2 linked regions of the Rhinolophus ferrumequinum genome follow. The protein of the gene in region 1 interacts with the protein of each later gene in a pairwise test. Links are inferred from orthologs where the notes say so. Each region holds a gene or a part of one and is shown on either strand. Other genes may lie near its edges.

What was found. The genes of interacting proteins can lie anywhere in the genome.
Region 2: the proteins of SUMO1 (region 1) and MX1 interact in a two-hybrid assay, tested with the Homo sapiens proteins (2 studies listed by BioGRID). The link is inferred for Rhinolophus ferrumequinum from reciprocal best matches to the Homo sapiens genes SUMO1 and MX1.

The regions. Positions count from the first base shown.
Region 1 is NC_046291.1:29,338,709-29,346,310, reverse strand, and holds the start of SUMO1 (small ubiquitin-related modifier 1), read right to left. Parts: upstream 3,017-7,602; 5' UTR 2,872-3,016; coding exon 2,860-2,871; intron 1-2,859. UniProt on the Homo sapiens protein: Ubiquitin-like protein that can be covalently attached to proteins as a monomer or a lysine-linked polymer.
Region 2 is NC_046285.1:105,591,684-105,598,898, reverse strand, and holds the start of MX1 (interferon-induced GTP-binding protein Mx1), read right to left. Parts: upstream 3,004-7,215; 5' UTR 2,863-3,003; intron 1-2,862.

The DNA.
Region 1 (7,602 bases):
TTGGGCTGGCCTTAGTGATTTGCCTAAGAAGGCAGAAGTGACTTTCAAGGCTAGGTCCTAGAAGGCTTGAGGTTTCCACCTGGGGTTCTCTGGGAACAACTCACGTCACTCTCTCTGTGGGCCCTGAGCTGCCATAAGTCTGAATATCCTGGGGTCTCCTTAACTTTTTGAGGGATCATGTATCCCTGATGAAAGTTATGGGCCCTTTCTCCCGTAAAAAAAGAAAGGAAAAAACATATGCACAAATACTCACAAAACACTCCATAACAATTTCAGTGAATTTTCAGCCCTTTAGGTCCACGAAACTTGGGTTTAAAATGTTTGAGATGATTATTTTTTAATGGTCCACAAATCCACTGGACAATGCTGGATTGTTAGAATTGCAAAAAAGTGTTTCACTCAAATTCCAAATATAATATTCTTTAATCAATGGAGAACCCAGCAATTTAAGTCTTCTATGAATTTAATGCCCCCCTATTTTAACCTGAAATTATTACTCAATTTCAGTATCTTAGCACCAGACAATAACCTCCTGAAAGGTGCCTCAGAAAAGACATTCTAACAAAACTTTGTTTAAATAAAGATTGTCTTTTGGGGGCACTGGTTCAGACTCATGCTGCTGATATTGCACAGTGGTAACTTGGGATTCTTACTCCCGTTCATAAGCCTCTTAAAGGTAAGAGTTCAACTTTATACCTCTTTAAATTCTTAGCACCCAACATGAAATTGTACTGGGTCCCAATTGTTAATGATGCTGGTCTATCAGACTAGAACAATTCTCAAACTTTTTGGTCTCAGGACTTCTTTATGCTCTTAGAAATTATTTAGACCCCCCTCCCCATAAAATTTTTGTCAGGTTGGTTATATCTATTGAGGTTTATAGTATTAGACATTGAAACTGAGAAATGTTTTAAAGATTAATTCATTTAAAAATAACAAACCCTTCATATATCAGCAAATAACAGTTTTATTAAAAAGTTTTCAGAACAAAACTAATGAGAAGAGTGGCACTGTTCCTCATTTTTGCAAATCTCTTTAATGTCTGGCTTAATAGAAAGCAGTTGGCTTTTCACATCTCCTTCTACATTTCAATCTGTTGTGATATCACAGGTCACGTTAGTCTTTAGAAAACTCCACTGAACACTCATGAAAGAACCAGAATGAAAAAGACCAACAATGTCCTAGTATTATCATGAAAATAATTTTGAGGCCCCCTAAAAAAGAATCTAAAGAACCTCTGGCCTAAAACCACCTGTTAGTGTCTTAGGTCCTTTATTTCTTCCTTCATGTCTTTCTAAATGACCAGAATTCAAACTGGAGCAATAAACTCTACAATTTACTTTATAATTCTTTCTGTACATTACTCTTTCATCACACTATAGTAAATTTCAACATGCTTCCTAGTCACTTCTGAGCATCAAAATAAAAGGCTGATGAAAACTAAGCATTTACACCTGTTCATTTACTCCCTGGTAACCAAGTAAACAACTATCTAGGTAGATACTTATAACGGCCATTCCCATACCAACTTGGGAATTAACCTAGACCGTTAGTAATAAGATCCCCAAAACTAATCTAGATTATGGTTAAACTTTAAAATTTTTTATGTACATTTTGCACACTAGTACAAATCCACAAAAGCCGAACTCGCTCTCACCAAGCTGTAGAAAGAAAACTGACCCGGGTTAAATGCCAAGAGAATATAAGTGTGTTAAATTTTTAAGTTCAAGTACATTAGGGAGTTGACTGAAAGTTTTCTAGATAACTATCACTAAACAAGCAAAGGTCTAAAAATACTTTGAAAAGTCAAAGTCGTCTGAGCAAACAAAAGACCAGACAAAAACCTTATTAATTAAAAACTAGCCGTAAAACGTGGTTAACTAGGAAAATATGAAAAACTTACCACGGAAAATCGAACGCTCCTGATTTAAGTACAAATCCCAAGTAAATCATTGATATTAACATTAAGACGGAGCACTTTGCCGTAACAGGCAGCTTTCTGCAAATGTCCTGCAACGGCTCTACGAGTATATACACGAGTATATACAGTATTCCTATCCTTTTCCTCAAAAGTATCAGTCATCTCCAGGTTAATGCCCAGGGGAAATGTTTTCTGTTGCTCGAGCGGTTTTGTTCTACTTTGTTTCTTGGTTATTCTGAGTGCTCCCTTACAAATGGAGAGTTGCTGAACCAATCCCGAGTAAGAAATGGAAAAGTACAAGAAAAGAGGCGACAGCTCTGCACCCCCACACGGAAAAAGACTCAGAAAAGAGCCGCGGCGGCCCGGCCCCCGCCGCAATCCGAACGGAAAGCAGTGCTTTCTAGGTTCCCAGCAACACCAGACAATGTCTCCCTCCCCTCCCCGCCCCAACGTCCCTACTCCAGGGCTACCCAAAACCCGAGAACCAAAAAGTGGAGTCCAGGCGCTTTTCAGGGCCACGAAGCCTCCCGGGCAGACTCTCTCCCGTTACATAACTGGGGCCTAGAGCCCTGCTTCGGCAACCAGTCCTCTGGGAGGGAGGCAGACAGGTTCCCCGGGGACCCACCCTCCCCGGGAGGTGGAAGCTGGGCTCTGCAAGGGGGACGACCTGCGGGAGGCCGCGACCAGAGACGCTGTGGCAGAGGGTGATGAGCGAGCCCGGAGAGGGGCAGGACGGCTCCCGGAGGCCCGCGGCAGGCCCCGCCGTCTCCGGCCCTAGTCCACTCCCCTCTCTCGCCCGCCGAGTCCCCACCGGCCGCCCCCTCCCCCATTCTGCGCTCCCCTCCCCCGCGCCTCCATCCCTGGCTCCAGCCCAGCGGCAGGCGGACCTGCCGAGGAAGGCCCCAGTCACCGCCATCGGACGGCCGCCGGCCCGGTACCTGGTCAGACATAGTGACGGTGGCTTCCCCCGGGGTCTCCGCACAGCAGCGGCCTCGGGCACGCAGAACCTCGCTCCGGGGTTTACAAATCCGTCTCTCTTCCCCACAGCACAACACCGCGGCTGGAGGGACTTCCGCTACTGCTTGCGTCACTTCCGCTACGCGCTGGGAGCAGGGATAGGGAAAAGAGGCGAGGCGGGAAAACGGGTGGGGGCTACACCGACACGGGGGGCTCGGTGCTAGATCAGCTGCTTGACTGGTGGTCGCGCGAGCGAATTAACAACCTTCTCGTCTGCTCCATCGAAGACCAGGCACCTCAATCCCGAGACCAGAGGAAAAGTTCCCCGTCCCCAGTATCAATGTTTGGGACAGTACTGACAGCCCAGACTCCTCCCTCTCCGACACCTTGCGCGTTTCTGAAGGCTGAACCAAGAAACTTCTATTGTCTCCTGGCCTTGCTCGTCAACCTCCCGAAAGAAATTGGATTGAATACCAGTGCTTCTTACCCTCGAGCTAACATTTTTGATTTAGCGCTCTCTCTCTCTCTCTCTCTCTCTCTCTCTCTCTCTCTCTCTCTCTCTCTCTCTCTCTCTCACACACACACACACACACACACACACACACACACACACACACACACCACGCGGTCACATGACCTTGATTGGGGGGCCGGAGGCAAAACAAAACAAAACAAGGATCCCATTGGACACGATCTTGATGGCTACTGATGGCTACTTGATGGCTGCTGAAAGTTCTAAACTGTTGGGGAGCAGTAGCTAATTCTGACTCTTGAATTCGTTGCTTTGAGTTAAGGAATGATCCCCCTATGATTTCTTCTTTAAAATACAATGGCCCTACTGACAAATGCATAGAGAATAAGGATGTAGACAAATGAAATAGAATAGTTTCAGAAGTAAATCAGTAAGCCCTCACACATCAATAATTTTCGACAAGAATACCAAGAATTAAATGGTGAAAGAAGTCTTTCAACATATGTTGTTGGGACAACTGAATATCCACGTGCAAAATAATGAATTTGGATCACTACCTTAGAACATATGAAAAATTAACTTAGAATGGATCAAGGCCTAAATGTAAGAGCTAAAACTCTTAGGAGAAAACAGGCATAAATCTTCTTGACCTTGGATTAGGGGGTGGCTTCTTGTATATGATACCAAAAGCACAACCAACCAAACGAAAATAAATTGGACTTCATTGAAGTAAAAAACTTTTGTCTTTTGTGTTCAAGAGACAACCTAAAAAAAGGGAGAAGATATTTGCAAATATATCTATAAGGGTTAATACTCAAACTATATAAAGAACTAAGAACTATTACAATTCAATAATAAAACGACAAATAATCCAACTTAAAAATAGACCCAAAAAATCTAAATAGACATTTCTTCAAAGGAGATACAAATGGGCAAATGGAGATGCTCAATATCATCAGCAATCAAGGAAATGCAAATTAAAGCCACAATGAAATAACGCTTCACACACACTAGGATATCTATAATTTAAAGGACAGATGATAATAAGAAGTGTTGACAAAGATATAGAAAAATTATAACCCTCATACACTACTTAGTGGGACTATAAAATGCTTTGAAAAACATTCTGGCAGTTCCTCAAACTGTTAAATATAAAGTTACCATGATCCAGCAATTCTATTCCTATATATATATATACACCCAACAGAATTGATGACACATGTCCACACAAAAACATGTACTCAAATATTCACAGAAACATTATTCATAATAGCAAAAAATGTAGAAATAACCCAAATAAATGTCCATCAACTGATTAATGGAAAACAAAAGTAATGTACCCATACAATGGAATACCATTAGGCCATAAAAAGGAATGAAGTACTCATACAATATGGATGAAACTAGAAGATATTATGCTAAGTGAAAGTAGCCAGTCATAAAGTATGATTCCATTAATATGACATGTCCAGAATAGGCAAAGCTATAGAGACAGAAAATAGATTAGTAGACTACTGCTCCAGACTTCAACTAGGGCTGGAAAATTAGGGGGAAATGGGAAGTGATACAGGTTTTCTTTTGGAAGTGATGAAAATGCTGTAAATGCTCAAATACATTGTGATGATGGTTGCACAGCTCTGGGAAACTGGTAAAAAACTGAAAATTGTACATTTTAAATAGGAAACTCTATGATATGTTAATTATATCTCAAGAAAATTGTTATATAAAAAAACAAAAATAAGATACAATGGCCCTAAGACAGCAGCTAATAATAAGTAAAGTATTATTAAGGGAACAGGTAGGACATTTACATCCAACCAGGATGACTGTGAAAATCTTCCAAAGAAATAAAATAAAACCTAAATTGAAATCCAAAGGGTAAGTTTACATCAGCTACAGCAGCAATTCCTAAACAGTTTGGTCCCAGAACTGCTTTAAACTTTTAAAAATTACGGAAGACCTCGAAGAACTTTTGTTCATGTCATTTCCACCAATATTTAACATATTAGAAATTAAAACCGAGAAAAAAATTTTAAATATGTATTAATTTGTTGAAAAACAATAAGCCCTTGATGGGCACAAATAACATATTTGTATGAAAAATGACCATGTTTTCTAAATTTAAAAAAAAAAACTAGTGAGAGAGTGGCAGTGTTTTTCATTTTTACAAATGTCTTTAATTATTTTAAGCCCTGGCTTGATAGAAGACAGCAAGATAGTTTATAGCTACTTCTTCATTCAATTGTTGCCATATTTGTTGCAATTTGTTTATGTAAAGGAAATTCAGTCTCATACAGATATGTAATTGGAGGAGGGGGAAGGATGGGTATAATAGCTTGTTCAGATAGTTGAATATTTTCTTTGATACCACACCTAAACTCGACAAGTGGTAGTTTCTTAATTGAAATGTGGAACTTGAAACCATGTCAATGACCTTTCTGAGTTCTTTTACATTAAAAAAATCAGTGGTCTACCTTACACTTTGGGTAGATATTATACTCATATGTAATTTTGTAACATAATGGATTTGTCATTTAGAAAACATTGCTTCGCTGAGTTATACAGATCTCCTAAATGTCGACACATTTCATTATACAATATCTAAAAATCATATTCATTATTTTCACAGACTCATCAGAAAAAGTCTTTAAATCTTGGGAAACTGCCAAACTCACAGTGATGAATACAAATTCTCCAAAATACTAATTTTTGCATAAAAGCTCAAATTTTGTCATTGACAACAAATACTGTCAGTTATTTTCTTTAAGTGTTAAGCTCATTTATTCATTTTTAAGAAATCGTCTGCAGTATTTCCAAATCTGAATAACAACTATTAACCTGTCATTTATTCTGTCACATAAAAATGATGTTAGATTTTTTAAGTGGCTAAATCAGCTTATAATTCTCACTTGTGTACTTTTCCTCCCCTTCCTCTCCCTCATCTTTCCCTTCTCTTCTCTCCTCCCTTTCTTCTCTACCTCTCCCTTCTCCCCCTCCTCAGCTTCTGTTGTCACATCTTCTCTGATTCTGACCCTGTCTCCCTCTTATAAGAAGTCTTGTAATTACATTGAACTTCCCAAATAATCCGGGATAACCACACCATCTCAAGATCCTTAATCACATACAAGTATGCAAAGTTCCTTTTGCCACGTAAGGTAACATATTCACAAGTTTTGGCGATTAGGAAGTAGACATCTTTGGGAGGCCATTATTCAGCCTACCATAATTAATTTTTCACTGTTTTATCCAGGACATTCATAGGTGACACTAGTTTTTTTCTCCAAGCGCATCACAGTGAGGAACAAAATGGATACTAGCACAGTATCACTGTCTTGACTCCTGCTAAGATGCCAGCAGTTTTACAAACCACTGATTTACACTATCGATGGTAATGTTCACACAGTGAAAAAAGTAAATGTCTTAATATTATTATGAAAATAGTTTTGATTTTGAAGAGCCCCTGAAAAGGTCTCAGGTCCTCCAGTAGTCCACAGACCATATTTTGAGCTAGAGGAAGGGAGGAAAGAGATTTCCTGGCCTAGAGAAGTGGTAAGAGAGAACGAAGCAAGCACGACAAGTTCTGTACAGTAGGAGCATGGTTTGTGAGGTAGGAGGTAGAAAAAAAAAATACCGGGAAGGAAAGTAACAACCCATTCACTGAAAATCTAGTAAACTATATTAAGAAATTTGGACTTAATCATGAAAGGCATAATGTTGGAAGTAGAGGGGTGTAGGAGGCACTAAGTGTTTTTAAGCAGGGGAAGTGATAATATCAGCTTGTGGTGTACAAAAGAGAGGGAAATAAGTTAGGAAGCTGTAGTAGTAGTCCAGAAAAAAAAGACAGTAATAGGGAATTAGATCAATGGAAGTAGAGATGGAAATAGAGATGATACAATTAGCAGGTTTTGGTGGTTGATTAGAATCTGATTTGAGTCACTTGACATGGTGATATTATTTTAAGATTTAATAGAAAAATTTGGAGATGAGGACCATAGATTTGCAAAGAAAACAAAAAGATTAGTTTTAGACATGAATGTGCAATGCCCAGAATCATCCAAGGAAAGATGTCCAAGAAGCAGTTGATATAATTTGGAGCACTAAGAGAAATCTGGGCTGAAGATACGAGATTTGGAAGTCTTTAGCCTATAATTGTTGTTGATGATGATAATTGTTAAGATTTATTGAGTGGCAGACCCTCTTCCAAGTGCTATACCTTTCTTATTTCACTTAATCCTATATAGTGAGTACTAAT
Region 2 (7,215 bases), on another chromosome or scaffold:
TAGTAAACCTGAACCTGCTCTATGAGAATTGTGTCCAGTGTTTAAAAACTGACTCAGCAAGGGTTTCCCATAGAAAACTTACAGCTTTTCAAGCACATCCTGTTTTTATTTTAAAAGAAAGTTCTGACTGACTAGCAATACTAAGGCAGTTCCCCGCACACAGGATGCGTCTTTATTTCTTTCAAATGTTTTAAAATAAAAAAAAAAAACAAATTATTAAAAAAAAATTTTAATTCCCATCCCTCATGCCCCTCCTCTGGCAACCATCAGCGTACTCTCTATATCTAAGGGTCTGTTTCCGCTTTGTTTTGTTTATTCATTTATTTTGTTTTAGATTCCCCACATAATAGAGATCATATGGTATCTCACTTTCTGATTGGTAAAATGACAGTCCCTGAAAGCAAAAACGTGTGGGTTTTGTCTGTCCATCTTAAATGTTTGTACCTTTCATGGATCATCTTTGAGGATCGGTTTGGATTTCAGGAGCAGGACAATCTCAGTAAGGAAAACCACTTTCTGACTTCTTCATCACACCCCGCATTCCGCTACAGCTGCCACACTCGCCTGAATGCATTTGCCAACTTTGGCCATCGTGGTGACCCTTAGCTCTCAGCCCATACTGCTCATCAAACGTCTACTCTGGACCCTGCGTTTGCAGACAAGACCGAAGGGAGTTTTGAGGCCTGCACACCATCTCTCCTTTCCAGCTGTCACCTTCCGCACCTCTGCACACCCCCAGTGGGCACTGGTGGGCTACTGGACCAGGCTCTCCTCTCACTCCGAAGCTTGGTTTAGGGAGGAGAGACCCTGCCCAGGTGCAGCAGCCTCTTTCCATTCCTGCCCAGGGCAGCTCTGTGTCCACTCAGGTCTCACTGTCCGTGGGGGTGACGGGCTGGCTGCCCCCTCCACTTCAGATTTCCGGACTGGTAGCTTGCCAGTGGCCTCCAGACTAGAGGCCCATCTAACTAACAGCAGTGGCACTGGAGAATCCCTGCTGTGGGCTGAGGGGGTGGATTTCCGTGCTTGTGGGGAAGCTTCCTGAGCTTAGAGAGCATGCGGCAGCGGGGATGGGAGGGTGATTTAGCGCCCCCACCTCTGCGAAGGACCACATACCTAGCATATCCTACAGACTGCCAGATCCAGAGTCTGCACCTTGCCCAAGAAGGGGACCGAAAGTTTTACATTGTGGGATATTGATTTTCAAGCTGGTTACTAAGAAACAAAAGACCCAGAAAGAACCTTTGCTCCCCCACCCCTTCCTGCTCAAGAGAATCAGACAGAAAAACCTGCTTCAGGGAGGAAACTTAGCATAATGGCTGGTCACTACACAGGGAGACTCCACGCGGGAGCCTGTGGACCATCCCGCCAGAGTCCCATTGTGTGGACCATCCCGCCAGAGTCCCATTGTCTCGGGGTTGGTTGCCCAGCAAGAATTTGCCTGCCAGGCTGTTCCATCTTCCTTAACTACCTGTAAATCACCCATTCTCACTTCTGAAATCTAATACCCCATCCCCCCTTTTCTCCTTTGTCCATAATGTCATGTATACCCAGTGTTGCCTCGCTGCCTGGAATTTTCCTGCTTCTGTGAATTCCCCTTTCATATGTACTAAAACTTGATTTTCTCCTGTTAATCTGTCTCTGTTAATTTGATTATTAACCCAGAGAGAAGCACACAGGTGGGAGGAAAAGTATTTTTTCCAGCACTCACACTCATAAATCAGACTAGATCTTAAAATAATCTCGCAGGACTTACATTTGCATTTTCTCTTGAAAGTGTTCTGCTTTCTAAAAGCCCAGACATTTAAATATTTTATTATTAAACGGGAGAACATCTCCACTTTACCCTAATGCTCTCTCCGTAGACACACTGAGCTGAGTGTCGGGATGTGGGGAGAAGGGAAGAGGAAAGAATGGGGGGGGGGGGTCACCTCGGAGGTGGTGGAGGTGGGGAGAGCAGGTGTGCTCCAAAACAGAAAGGTGACACCCAGCCTTTGGGACTGACAGCTGACGGTTAGTATCACTTGACCGTACTTCCAACAAAAACTTGATTTAAAATTTGACCTAACTCCGAGAAGCCCACATGCACCGCTCTCGGTGGCTGCTGGGTTACTTCCGTCAGCCCCTAGCACATCCTGCCTCGGTTTATCCCCGCAAATGACAATGGACCCGGAGTGTGAGTCTGCCCCACTCAGTGGCACCCTGCTGCACAAACTTAAGGGGCACCTCCCCGGTGGGTGGGGCTATGCGGCGCAGGGCACTTCGGCGCATGCCTGGTCTCTCCCAGCAGGAGGTCCTTCCCACGGGGCTGCGCCCGTACCCAGAGCTTCCTCGCAAGGACGCTCAGCTCCAGCCGCTCATACTCTGCAGGGTCCGTGAAGGCCCTTTGTCCATCAGCTTCCAAGGAATCCCCGGGGCTGACCTGTCCGCTTTGAACGCGTTAGCTGGATAAGTCAACAATAAAAAGTGGTCGGCTTTTGGGGTGGGCTCGGAGACCATGCAGCGGTGGATGTGAAACTTTTTCAGTGCGTCGCCCTTAACCCGCTCTTTCAGAGACCCCATTGGCTCCCATCCCCAGTACCTTCCCACCTCCTCAAGCAGAAAAGCCACCGGTTCGGGGGCTGTTTGGGATCGGTCACCCAGGAGCCTCAGCAGCCGTTGCTCTGAAGTAGAATCAAGCGCGCTCTCGGCCCAGCCAGCATCAGTGTTGTTCTCATTCTCATTCAGCATCATTACTATTACTAGCCCCGCAATGCCCACACCGCCGAGCGCTCCCTCTGCAACCAGCCTCCCTCTGCAAACGCCCTCCTTCGAGCCTCCCGCAGCCGGCCGGAGGGTGCACGGACCCGGGAGCGCGATACTCACCCGTCTCCTCACTGCCGCGAGTGCGGCACCCTCACCACTCTCCGGCTTTAAGTGGTGTGTGTGCTCCGCCCTCCGCTCCAGTCAGGCCAGGCCGCGGGGAAACGAAACTCTCCTACCCCGAGGGGCCGGAGGGAACAGAAACGAAACCGAATCCGTCGCCCCGCCCCCCCACCCCTCCTACCCCCCCCCCCCCGCGCGGAGCTGCAGCCTCAGCAAGGCGCTCCGAGTGCGCGCCCGGCACCAAAGCATCCTCAGCCCTGGGAGCTCTGGAGCCTCGCAGACTCTCCAGCCGCACGACAAGATGGAAGCACACAACCTTCCACCTGAATTGCTGGCGATTCCTTCTCTGCTAAAGAAACATCGATTACTCTGTGTTCTCCCAAACGACTTGTGTACTCTTCGCCCTCGAGGACTGTCCACCAGGCTCAGCGCCCCACTCATCGCCACCATCACACTTCTGCGGGCCAGCCCTTCTCCCACAGGCTCCCGGAGACAGCCTCCTTCCCTGCCAAGTCCCAACTGCGATGTGCCCTATCCGCAGCGGCCCCTGGGAGCTCCTTCCAAGCCTGGGTCGTGCTTCATCCCGCCCCCCACTGGCTTCGCTAAGACTAAGATGCAGTTCATCTCGGATGGATGTCCTGGATTGTGGGGGATGTGGCCCCAGCCCCTGCTGCCTGCGCACCAACGGGTGACTAGGGTCCTCGTACAGCCCTCTCGTCACCTGCTAGGGCTGGCCCAGGTGTGTCAAGGAGAGCTGAGCTGGCATTAATGAAAAGCAATGCTTCCAGCTCCCTACGGCCCCAACTGGGCATTTTCTCAAAACGGGAAGCACACTGCATTCCATAAAAATGCTGCGAGTTGCCCCGCTGCCGGGGTGGGCATTCCTACGCAGCGTGGTGTGCCAGGCCTGCCTGTGCCCTGCCTCACCTTGCCCCAGGACCACTGCTGGGATGTTGCCCCTCTTTGCTGCAGCCCAAGGCGCTCCTCCTCGCCCCCGCCCCCTTCTCCAGGCCTAGGGGACTTGCTCCCTGGGATCCCCGTGTTCTCCCCCACGCCCCTGTGGAGTGGGGCCTCGTCACATTGTCTTGGCCTCTGTGGCCGTGAACATGGGGAGGGACCAGGTCCATGAAGCTTGCTGTTGCACTCGGAATCCAGCATAGTTGCTGGCACAGTGTTTCAATACATGTTTCTGGAAGACAGGAATGAGTGAATGTATGAATGAATGATGGGTAGGACCGGCTCTGGTCTTGCAGACGTGGTCCTCAAGTGACCTCCGGACAGATTCCCTACGCCTCTCAGTTTCCTCCGTAGTCTCCCCGCCTCTCCTTCCCTGTCTCCGTTTCTAGTCAACTCAGATTCGGTTTCAGTTTCTTTTCTCCTCCTGGGTTCACAGAAAAGTAAGTTAGATGAAGCAACAATAGAATCCTAAATCCAGGAGCTGGGGAGAAGGGGGCGGAGCCCCGAGGAGGAGGAGGAGGGCGGAGCCCAGAGGAGGTTCTCTGGCCCCAGGCCTCTCAGACGTGGCTGAACCTGGCCACGGTTCTGCCTGTGTCACGTGCCTCGAGGAAGTGGGGGCAGGAGGGGGGCGCGGGACTGCTCGGCAGCCCTGAACCACTGGGATAATACTCCCACGCCTGTGAGGAGGGGCCAAAGGGCCGGAAAGAGCGCCCCCGCCCAGCGTCCTCTCTGTCTGGCCCGGAGCACTGGTCCTGCCCCAGGTGTCATTGGCCCCAATTCGTTTTCTCCTCTATGTTTGTGGCATAAACCAGTCCTTCTCAAAGGGTGGTGCCCCGACCAGAAGCATTGGCTTCAGGGATTGGGGCCACCCCAAAATCACTGAATCAATCTGCATGTTAAGGGGATTCTCCACGTGTTTCATTTGCAATTAAAGCACCAGAAGGCAGGCACCACCAAGGTTGTTATTTATCTGGTCTTAAAGGGCCAGGCTTTGCCTTCTTATCTGCCCCAGGTCCCCCAGCGAGCCCTGTCCCGAGGAGACAGATACTGAAAGCCTGGTAGAGCTGAGCTGGGGACCCTGGGTCCTGGCTTGGTGTACACATGGCCCAGTGCACAGTCACTGGGGAAAGGTCGGTGGCCATTGCGAAATCGTTTTTTCCAGGATAGGGCCAACTGTCCCTATGGCATTCACCCGATGAAAATTTATTTTTCATATGGTGAAGGCAGGTGTCTCCTGCCTTCCCAGGACCTCTCCCCAGAAGGCTAATGGGTATTGACTCAGCTTGTTCTTTCCATCAGTTCTTCAAATTCCAACTCAGGCTGCTTCATTCCTCCTCTGCCACAACTGGGCTCCACATTTCACAGTACAGGTAGTGGAGAGACCCCAATGCAATATCTCTGTATTAAAAATGCTGTCTCTTGGGCTGGCCTGGTGGCTCAGGTGGTTGGAGCTCCATGCTCCTAACGCCAAAGGCTGCCGGTTCGATTCCCACATGGGCCAGTGGGCTCTCAACCACAAGGTTGCCGGTTCGATTGCTCAACTCCCAAAAGGCATGGTGGGCTGCGCCCCCTGCAACTAAGATTGAACATGGCACCTGAGCTGCCGCTGAGCTGCTGGATGGCTCAGTCGGTTGGAGCATGGGCTCTCAACCACAGGTTGCCAGTTTGACTCCCGCAAGGGATGGTGGGCTCTGCCCCCTGCAACTAACAATGGCAACTGGACCTTGAGCTGAGCTGTGCCCTCCATAACTAAGATTGAAAGGACAACAACTTGACTTGGTAAAAGTCCTGGAAGTACACGCTGTTCCCCAATAAAGTCCTGTTCCCCTTCCGCAATGAAATCTTAAAAAAAAAAAAAAAAAAATGCTGTCCCTTGGTTGTGAAGTGTTCATAGAATAGTGACTCCGTCAGGCACTGGGCTAATTTCTCTAAACACATGATCTTCCAATAGAGCAAAAACTAATCAAATAGGAAATGGAGATGTGGAGAAAATGGAGACGTGGAGAGGTAGACGCTTTCCCCCCACAAAGCTAGTGAGAAATGGAAACTGGGTCCTGTTGACCTTTAAAAAATAGCCAGATATTTCTCCAGTAAAATGGGTTTATTTGGAACAATAAAGAAGTGCAGTTCAGGTCATGCAGCCTAATGGCGAATCAAATAAAAGTCAGAGAATAAAAGAGAGGAACTTCTTTGTAGAGGAAAGAGGAGAGTTCAGAGGGGCTGTTGTAAACAAAAAGTCCATTGGAGGAAACTGGGAGTTTGTCTGAAGTTTAGTGGCTTTTCATTGGCTGAGTTGTAACCATCTTTTTTTTTTCTTAGTTTCAGGTGCACAAAACAATGTGATAGACATTTATCATTTATGTCCCTCACACAGTGACAACCCCCCCCTCCACTACCCCTCTGACATCGCACACAGCCATTACATCTCCACTGTCTCTATTCCTAATGCTGTACTCTGCTTCTTGTAACTATGTGTGTGTGTGTGTGTGTGTGTGTGTATACATATATAATTGTAGTTGATATTCATTATTTTTTTTTAAAGATTTTATTGGGGAAGGGGACCAGGACTTTATTGGGGAACAGTGTGTACTTCCACGACTTTTTTTTCCAAGTCAAGTTGTTGTCCTTTCAATCTTAGTTGTGGAGGGCGCAGCTGAGCTCCAGGTCCAGTTGCCGTTGCTAGTTGCAGGGGGCACAGCCCACCATCCCTTGCGGGAGTCGAACCCACAGCCTTGTGGTTGAGAGGACGTGCTCCAACCAACTGAGCCATTTGGGAGCTCAGCGGCAGCTCAGCTCAAGGTGCCTGTTCGATCTTAGTTGCAGGGGGCGGAGCTCACCATCCCTTGCGGGACTCGGGGAACTGAACTGGCAACTTTGTGGTTGAGAGCCCACTGGCCCATGTGGGAATCGAACCGGCCGCCTTCGGAGTTAGGAGCATGGAGCTCTAACCGCCTGAGCCACTGGGCCGGTCCCTGACATTCACTATTGTTCAGCTTCAGCTTCAGGTGTACGGTGCAGTGATCAGGCATCTACACCATCCCTGAGGTGGTCTCCCTAATGGGACAAGTGTCCATCGGATACCCTACAAAATCTTTACAACATTATTGATTACGTTCCCCAAATTGACTTTCGTTTCCCCGTGGCCATCTTGTGGTTACCGACTATACTTTCTAATCCCCTCACCTTCCCCCTTATCCCTCCCCCACCAATCTAGCAACCCTCAGCTTTTCCTCTATGTCTCTGAGACTGTTTCTGATTAGTTCATTCATTTATTCTTTTCTTTAGATTCCACATATAAGTGAGATCATATGGTATTTGTCTTTCTCTGTCTGACTTATTTCACTTAACATAATGTTCTCTAGGTCCATCCATATTGTAACCATCTTTCATTGGCTG